Macaca fascicularis: one gene and its partner. The protein of the gene in region 1 interacts with the protein of each later gene in a pairwise test. Links are inferred from orthologs where the notes say so. Each region holds a gene or a part of one and is shown in the gene's direction. Other genes may lie near its edges. The genes, in order: CREB3L1 and FXYD3.

Region 1 (4,396 bases):
GTCAGAACTTCACTCTCCAGAACTATGTCAACTAGACCATAAGGTGGGGAAAAGCCACGTGCCTGCCCGCCTGCCAGGCAAGCAAACAACTGCTGTGTCAGCCTTGGTATGAGCCCTTCTCCCACCTGGCACTGAGAGCAATTTTGGTGACATCCATAGCTTAGCTGCAATGACATCTCTACTTCTTAAAGGCCTTTTGGTTCCTGAGCTAATTAAATGTCCCAGACAGGGAGGACACACTTAATCGTATTAATGACTTCTGGTCAGAAAACAGTGTGCCCAGCCCTCTGAGGGAGTGCCTTTCTGAACCACCTCCATTTGTTCAGGTGCTTGGTGATTGTTATCAGCCCTTTTGAGATATTAAGTTTGTACGCAGGAGCAAGTCACTTAGGTAATGGATCCCGGGGCCCCGGGAGTGTCTGGTGACTGTGGAGTGTGCAGCCAGCAAGCACCTTGGCTCATTCAGATTCCAGAACCACTGTTTTCCAACTTCCTCCTCTTCAGAACCATTGAGGGATGGGGAGGGACTTGACTATCAAGGAGAAGAGGGGTTCTCTCCTATCTCTGGCTGTTCACCCAGCCCTTTCACACACAGGGAAGCTGGGGACAGTCCTTGCCCTGAGCAGTCTCACAGCTTAGTGGGGTCACAGACACAAACAACGTGAGCAAACAAAGACAATACCACATTAGACTGGAAACAGCAGAGGTGAGCACATGATGCCCTGTGGGTGTATACCGTTGGTAACTGCCCCAGCCTGGGGATTCAGAGAAGGCTTCCTGGAGGAAGACACATGTGAGATGAGAAATGAGAGTTACAAGCTGAAAATTGGCCAGGTGTGGTGGCTCACACCTGTGATCCCAGCACTTTGGGCGGCCAAGTTGGGCAGATCACCTGAGGTCGGGAGTTCGAGACCAGCCTGGCCAACATGGTGAAACCCTGTCCCTACTAAAAATACAAAAATTAGCTGGGTGTGGTGGGGCGTGCCTGTAATTCCAGGTACTCGGGAGACTGAGGCAGAAGAATCGCTTGAACATGGGAGGCAGAGGTTGCAGTGAGCCGAGATCACATCATTGCACTCCAGCCTGGGCAAAAAGAGCGAAACTCCATATCAAAAAATAATAATAATAAATAAATAAATAAATTGTTTAAAAAGCTGAAAATCTCCCCCGTTGAGGGGAAATCTGTTGAGGCGACTGTGAAATGGAATTCCCTGACTGGGTTTGGTGCAGGTTTTAGCATAAGGCTGGAAGGATGGAAATAGCTCTCTCATCAACTTACGGGACAGTGGTTGGTGAAACCTTAACAAAATGCCAATGTTCCAAGAATACTGTTATCGGTTCCAGGACTATTGTTGCTTTAAGCCCCCACCTTGAGCATTCAGAGAAGACAGATGACTAAGGAAGACGAAGTTGCAGATGTCTCTTTAAAAAATGAGAGAGGATTCCTCGAGCCACGCCCTCTTCTCATTAATATTAAATTATTGTGAATATTGATGTGGGGGCGTGGCGCCCTGGCCAGCTGGGGTAGCCAGCCAGGGGTTCCCGGTTTCACAGAGAGGAAAGTGACAGAAGCGGTGCGGAGGGAGAAGCAGAGACAGCGGAGAGGCCGGCAGCCACCCAGTCTCGGGGGAGCGCTTAGCTCCCCCGCCCCGGCTCCCACCCTGTCCGGGGGGCTCCTCAAGCCCTCAGCCCCACCCCCGGGCTCCCCATGGAAGCCAGCTGTGCCCCAGGAGGAGCAGGAGGAGGTGGAGTCGGCTGAATGCCCACAGTGCGCCCGGGGCCCCTGAGCCCATCCTGCTCCTAGCCGCTGCCCTAAGGCCCCCGCGCCCCCCGCGCCCCCGACCCGGGGCCGCGCCGCCTCCGTCTGCCCCTCCCCCGGGGCTTCGCCCCGGACCTGCCCCCCGCCCGCTTGCCAGCGCTCAGGCAGGAGCTCTGGACTGGGCGCGCCGCCGCCCTGGAGTGAGGGAAGCCCAGTCGAAGGGGGTCCCGGGAGCCGGCCGCGATGGACGCCGTCTTGGAACCATTCCCGGCCGACAGGCTGTTCCCCGGATCCAGCTTCCTGGACTTGGGGGATCTGAACGAGTCGGACTTCCTCAACAATGCGGTAAGACGAAGGGTCTCCGTTCCCGTTCCACCCCTCGGCACCCTTCTTCGCGGCGCGCCTGGGCCCCTAGAAGGACCCGACTACACATCACTGGGCAGGAGCGGGGAAAGGGTTCAGCGCAGGGTCTCCCGGAGCGACATGTGTTTGGAGCTCCGAGATTTGACGAGTAGGTCCCTCGACACCTCCCTTGGACCCCCGCCTGACCTAAGCCTCGGAGCTGGTGCCAGTGCGCGCCCCTCCTGGGGGCGCAATCCTTGAACACATTGGCCTCCACCTTCTAGGGGAAGGGGTCATCGAGGTATCGGGGCCGTCCGATCCTTGGATCTGAGCTCAAGAGACGCCAATCCCGCCCTCCACCCACGTCTTCTAGCCGTCCCAACCCACCCCAGGTTCCAGGACCAGACTGGGCGCAAAGTGGCAGCGCCCTTTCCTGCGCCTCCCCTGGGGCTTCTGTGGCTCTTAGGCTGGACCTCCGCTGGGAGGCGCACCCGGGAGCGTTCTGAGGGTCTGAGACCCGACGCCCCTCGGGGATCAGAGCCAGACCCGGGTTCTCAGTCAGGCCCGGAAACTTCAGGGTGCTACCATGGCAGCCCCAGGGAATCAGGGCCAGAGACCCCCCCCCCAGGGAGGGACCTGAGGCTGGGGGCTGGGGGGAGGCAGTCAGGGCAACACAGGGTGCTGGCTCAGGAGGATGGGAGCCCTTTCTCTCCATCTGCCTCTAGATCTCTGCTCTGTCCCTCTGTTCCTGGAGTCTGGCTGACTTTCTCTCTCCCTCTCCCTATGTCTTCTTGACTAGGTCCGACTGTGAGCTTGTCTTTCTCCTCTTTCTCACTCTTCCCCTCCCTCCCTAAGGAAACGTGGCTTCTCTCTCTTCTTCCCTCCCTCCCTCTCTCAGGCTCAGCCCTAAGGCCTTGATGGGGGAGGGGCATGGGCTTAGAATGGGAGAAAATATTTAGGTTCAGAAGGGCCTGCCTAGATGAAATGTGGATTGTTGGGGAATCTAGTGGGAGCCCCCTCTTCAGTGAACCACCAGTTGCATGTGCATGCCTGTACACACCACACACACACACATACACACACCCTGTGATCAAGCACTTGAGACTCTTTACCTGCTGATCTCTACCTCCCAGGACCAAGATAAACTTGGCCAGGCAAGAGCCAAGTCCTTAGAGGACTTGAGCATCTTGGACTTCCACCTAAACTGTCCCAGGCCACTAGATTGATGGTGAGGAGCCAGGCCAAGGGACAGGAGCCAGAGTCAAGGAGGCATGGGGACTGAGGTCTCCCTGTTCTCCATTAAACAGCACATCCTGGTCACTGTGCGCTCTGAGGAAGGCCCCTTGTCCCAGGCAGAGAGAGCATAATTCATCAGACAGAACAAGGGTACAAGGGGAGAGGGCTTGCATTGACAGCAGAGAGACTTGGTTTCTAGTCCTGGCTCTGCTTCCCCTGTGAGCTTGGCCCATACCACTGGATCTCCTCCCTGGGCCTCAGTTTCTTTGTCTGTAAAATGGGGGAGATGTTGGATCAGGTCTTCCTACAGATGGTTCTGGCACAGATCCCAGGAATAAAGCAGCAGGGATCAGGGGATCCACACCTTCTCTTGAGGTTGGTAAAAGACACTAGTCAGAGGGAAAGAGGTTTGTCAGAGCTCAGACCCTTGAAGTCAAGGGAGGCAGTAGAGCCCTGCAGTAAGCTTCCCTCGGCCCTTGGAAGCTCTGAGTTGGGCTTTCTTCTGAATGAACTCAGCCGCCCGCAGCCTCTTCCTGCTGCTCCATTCAGCCCTGTGTCCCCAGCTGCTCATCTGGGCCTTGGTCCAGCACAGGAAAGGAGGCACGACCAGACAGTGGGATCCAGCACTGGGACACTGGGGAGGAAAAGCCCTGCTGGGGAGGCTCCTGATCTTGCACCTGGGCAGGGCCAGGAGAGGCAGCGGGAGAAGATGGGGTGCCTAAAGAAAGAGAGAAAGGACTCTTGGGCTGGGAATCAAGAGATTTAATTCTGTCTGTGTTTCTGCCACCAGCCAGCGGGAGAATTCAGAAAAGTGACTTTATTTATTTATTTATTTATTTTTTGAGATGGAGTCTTGCTCTGTCGCCCAGGCTGGAGTGCAGTGGCGAGATCTTGGCTCACTGCAAACTCCGCCTCCCGGGTTCACGCCATTCTCCTGCCTCAGCCTCTCAAGTAGCTGGGACTACAGGCGCCTGCCACCACGCTCAGCTAATTTTTTTTGCATTTTTATTAGAGACGGGGTTTCACCGTGTTAGCCAGGATGGTCTCGATCTCCTGACC
Region 2 (4,299 bases), on another chromosome or scaffold:
CCAGCAGTCCTTCCACCAGGCAAAACACATCATCTAAGGGAAAGAAGTCAGGTCGGAACACCAACACATCACTTCCCTGCATGGCCCTGGAGGCTCTGCCTTTTAAAGACCCCAGAACCTTCCCCATTCAAGGTCTTCTCCTGGGCACAGAAGATTGGAGAGCGCTCCTCCCTTAATTCCAGGGACCGAGCTCCAGCCCATCCAATTCTCTGTCTCACCTGAGGCTGCTGTGGCCCTGGTGACCCCCGGGAGCAACGTGCTGCCCATGGCTGGGATGGCTGGGGAGGGGGTGAAGCTGTCTCTTTAAGAGCAGGAACGGAGCCCCTGGGCCTTAGGGCATCTGACTTGTTTTCTACCTGCCCAGGTTTGCTCAGGGCGTGGCAGCTTCGGATAAAGGCAGGACTCCGCCTTGCAGCCCCGATTTCTCCCGGAACCTCTGCTCAGCCTGGTGAACCACACAGGTGAGCAGCTGGGGCCCCCTTCCTCCAAGCCCTCCTTGGCTCTGCCCCTAAACGAGGGAGTATCTACCTGCCCACTGACCCTGCCACACACAAGCTCTGCTGTTAAAGAGCCTAAAATCTTTGGAAATGTTTTTCTGGAGCCAGGAGATAGGAGAAAGTCCCTTCCCCTAATGTCCCTTTCCCCACCATTCTCCTCTCAGGGACTGGTTGAGCTGGCTGGGGTGAGGGCAGGACTGGTAAGTGTGGTTGGGGTGTCTGGGAAGACTGATGTCTGCATGGATTAGGGGTATCTGGGTTGGGGATATCTGGGTGGAAGAGAGGGGGGTGCCTGGGTAGGTAGGGGTATCTAAGTGGACCAGGTGTGCGTAGATGGACTGGGGACATCTGTGTGGATGAGGAGTGCTAGATGCACTCGGGGTGTCCAGGCACTGAGGGATGTGGATTCTGGAAACCTCCAGGAAAAGAGGACAGAGCTGTTGGGGAAGTTGTAAATACGGAGTTGCTTGGGAGATTTCAGGAGCACAGAGCGGGCAGGATCTTTCTGCCCGCCCCTGAACATGAGACATTTCTCCTACAGTATGGAGGAATAGAGGGGATAGCAGAGGGCAGGTGGGGCAAACAGTCCTCAGGCCGGCCTTGGGACCTCGTGGCCAGGAAGGATCAGGGCAGGTAGACAGAGCATCAGCTGCAGGGCTGCCTTCCTCTCTAACCTGCCCACCAACCACATTGGTCTGGGAGCAGTCCAGGGCCTCTTCAGCAATAGCCTGAATCAGGAATGTGAGGGCAGACCCAGCTCCCGGCTCCCTGCAGCCTCCAGAAACGTGGGGCTGGACATTGTTTTGCAGAAGCTGGGGCTGGGGCTGGGGCGAGGCAAATACCATCTGTTAGTCTTGGCTGGATGACATCATGGGAAGGGGGAATAGTGGGGCCTTGCAGGCCAGAGGTGGCTTGGAGGAGCCCCTGGAAAGAGGCTTAAGAGGTGAGACTCAACAGCCACGGCGACAGAGCATAGGGCTTTAAGATGAATTTGCAGGGGTTACAGGATTACAACTGCAATGTGTGCTAATAATAGTGCCCCCTACATTAAGCTGCAGAGATTGAGCAAATAAGTGGGAAGCTAAGGAAATGCCCCGTGGGGTAGACACTCAATAAACATCTGCTGCTGTTATCAGGACTCATATGGTTATGGGTGACAGCTTCAGACCACAGGCAGTCTACCTACAACCTGTGCCCCTATCCACCATGCCATCCTGCCCACCCACCCACACCAGGTCCCCCGACCCCCAACACTTTTGGGGATCTTAAACACTTCCTGGGTCTCAGTAATGCTCCCCAAAGTCTCAGGCTTTCTTCCCACAAAAAAAAAAAAAAAAAAAAAGGAAAAGAAATGGATGCTCAAACTAAAATTGTGAGTTCAGCATGTGGAATTAACTGGGAAGCTGAGAGGATTCCCAGGCCCTGGGGTGCGTAGGCAGAGGGAGGAGTCTGTGCCAACCTGCAGGGACCACCCGTTGGTTGTGGCGCCACCCTCTCTCAGCATTTTTGCTGTCCATGAAATTGCTGGGGGGTTGAGTGAGAACACAGCAAGGTCAGTGTGCACCCCAGGGCAAGGTGGAGGAAGTACCAGCTCTCGCTATCAAAATTATAACTAGACCAGGTGCGGTGGCTCACACCTGTAATCCCAGCACTTAGGGAGGCCCGGGTGGGTGGATCACCTGAGGTCAGGAGTTCGAGACCAACCTGGCCAACATGGTGAAATCCTGTCTCTACCAAAAATACAAAAATTAGCCAGGCATGGTGGCACACGTCTGTAGTCTCTGCTACTCGGGAGGCTGAGGCAGAAGAATTGCTTGAACCCAGGAGGCAGAAGTTGCAGTGAGCTGAGATTGTGCCATTGCACTCTAGCCTGGGCGACAGAGTGAAACTCCGCCTCAAAAAAAAGAGAAAAAATAAAAACAGTTATGATAACTATGCACTCAGCATTTGGGCAGGAACAGGGCAGGGGAGGGCATGCTTGGAGGCCCGGGCTTGGTGCAGCCTTGCAGGCTGGGAGGGCAGGACTGATGCCAGGTCAGGAAGGAGAGAGAAACAAGTTCCTTATGCTGAGCAGGTCTACCTGGGAAAGAAAGTGCTCTGCGGGGCCTAGGGTAGGGTCAGGGGCTGGGCTGGGGACTCAGGCTAGGCAGGGTCAGGGCTGGGACCGGGAAGGGCATGGGTGAGGGGTGAGGGGCAGGAGGTTCTGGGGAACAGAGATGGAGCTAGGGCTGCAGCCAGGCTGAGTTTGTCCCCCTCTACCCCCAGTCCCAGCCTCAAGTCAATTGCTCCACACACCCCGCCCTGAGCAGCTTGAAGAACCTGCTCAGTCCGCAGCCTGAAGTCTGCAATGTCCTGGCAGGGCCAGGCAGGCTCTGAGCCGTCTATGGAGACACCCCCGGGAAGCAGGCCTCCTGCCACCTGGCTCCCAGCACCTGGCTTCCCCAAACACCCCAAGGCCCTGACAGTCCTTAGTTAGGAGCAGCTGCTGGGGAGCCAGGCCTGGCTTAAATCCTGCTTCCTGGCTAGGGCACCTAGTTTCGCCTCCCAGAGCCTCAGTTTCCCCATCTGTCCAATGAGGACAACAGCGGGCAGTGGTGCCCTCATTTGGTTGCGGGGCGATTCACAGAAAGCCTGGTCCATGTCCAGTGAGTTATTATGGCTCCTCCCGCGTCAGGCCCGAGTTTCACCCAGTCCCCACTCCACGGCGCAGCTGCAGCTTATCTCTCAGCCCAGCGAGATGTCAGCCTTCTTGCCCTGGGTGAACTGCGCACCCTGCCTGGGGAGCAGGGGAGGAGGGTTGGGGAGCCATAGGCACAGGGCCAGCCTCCCAGTGGCTCTGCTAAGGCCGGACCTCCTGCCACCCCTCTAGGCCCGCGCTCTGACATGCAGAAGGTGACCCTGGGCCTGCTTGTGTTCCTGGTAGGTGAGTACCCATCCCCCAACTGCCTTTTCCTCTGGATCCCCTGGATGGGGGGCTGCCAAGCCTCTGTCTCTCTCCTGTGCTTTTCTACCACCCCAGGGAAGGTGGTAAATGTTAGAACAGCATCTCCTTGAGGGTAAGTAAAGTCAAACTAGTGATTGCCAGGGATACACAAGAAGAGCTGGCTCGCACAGCTGGAAAGTCACCATCTTCCCCATTCTCTCGCTCTTTCTTTCTTTTTTTTTTTTGAAAGGGAGTCTCTGTCACTCATGCTGGAGTACAATGGTGCAATCACAGTTCACTACAGCCTTGAACTCCTGGGGTCAAGCAATGCTACTCCCTTAGCCTTACACAGCTAGAACTCTAGGCACACACCACCAAGCCCAGCTCATTTTTAAATATTTTGCAGAGACGAGGTCTCACTGTATTGCCCAAGCTGATCTCAAACTTCTGGCTGAGTTTGATCCTCCCACCTCAGCCTTCCAAAGTGCTGGGATTACAGGCACGAGCCACACTGCACTGGCCTTGATTGACTATTAAACATAAATAATGGAAGCTAGAATACAATGAAATTACACCTTCAAAGCACTGAAATAAGATAACTGCCCAGCCAGTTCTCTTGTAAATTTTCCAAAAACTTCAAGTAGAAGGCTCAGCTCGGTGCGACTGCATCTTTAACTTCCAAACACTTTTCCTCTTTTTTCTTTCTTTCTTTTCTTTTCTTTTCTTTTTTTTTTTTTTTGAGACAGAGTCTCGCTCTGTTGCCCAGGCTGGAGTGCAGTGGCATGAACTCAGCTTACTGCAACCTCCACCTCCCGGGTTCAAGTGATTCTCCTGCCTCAGCCTCCCAAGTAGTTGGGATTACAGGCATGTGCCACCATG

What was found.
Region 2: the proteins of CREB3L1 (region 1) and FXYD3 interact in binary tests that used the Homo sapiens proteins (3 or more experiments, as listed by UniProt). The two-hybrid records come from large-scale screens. The link is inferred for Macaca fascicularis from reciprocal best matches to the Homo sapiens genes CREB3L1 and FXYD3.

Annotation. Positions count from the first base shown.
Region 1 is NC_088388.1:19,579,178-19,583,573, reverse strand, and holds the start of CREB3L1 (cyclic AMP-responsive element-binding protein 3-like protein 1), read left to right. Parts: upstream 1-1,552; 5' UTR 1,553-2,002; coding exon 2,003-2,104; intron 2,105-4,396.
Region 2 is NC_088393.1:42,357,498-42,361,796, forward strand, and holds the start of FXYD3 (FXYD domain-containing ion transport regulator 3), read left to right. Parts: upstream 1-1,352; 5' UTR 1,353-1,367; coding exon 1,368-1,440; intron 1,441-3,171; coding exon 3,172-3,255; intron 3,256-3,366; coding exon 3,367-3,420; intron 3,421-4,299. UniProt on the Homo sapiens protein: Associates with and regulates the activity of the sodium/potassium-transporting ATPase (NKA) which transports Na(+) out of the cell and K(+) into the cell.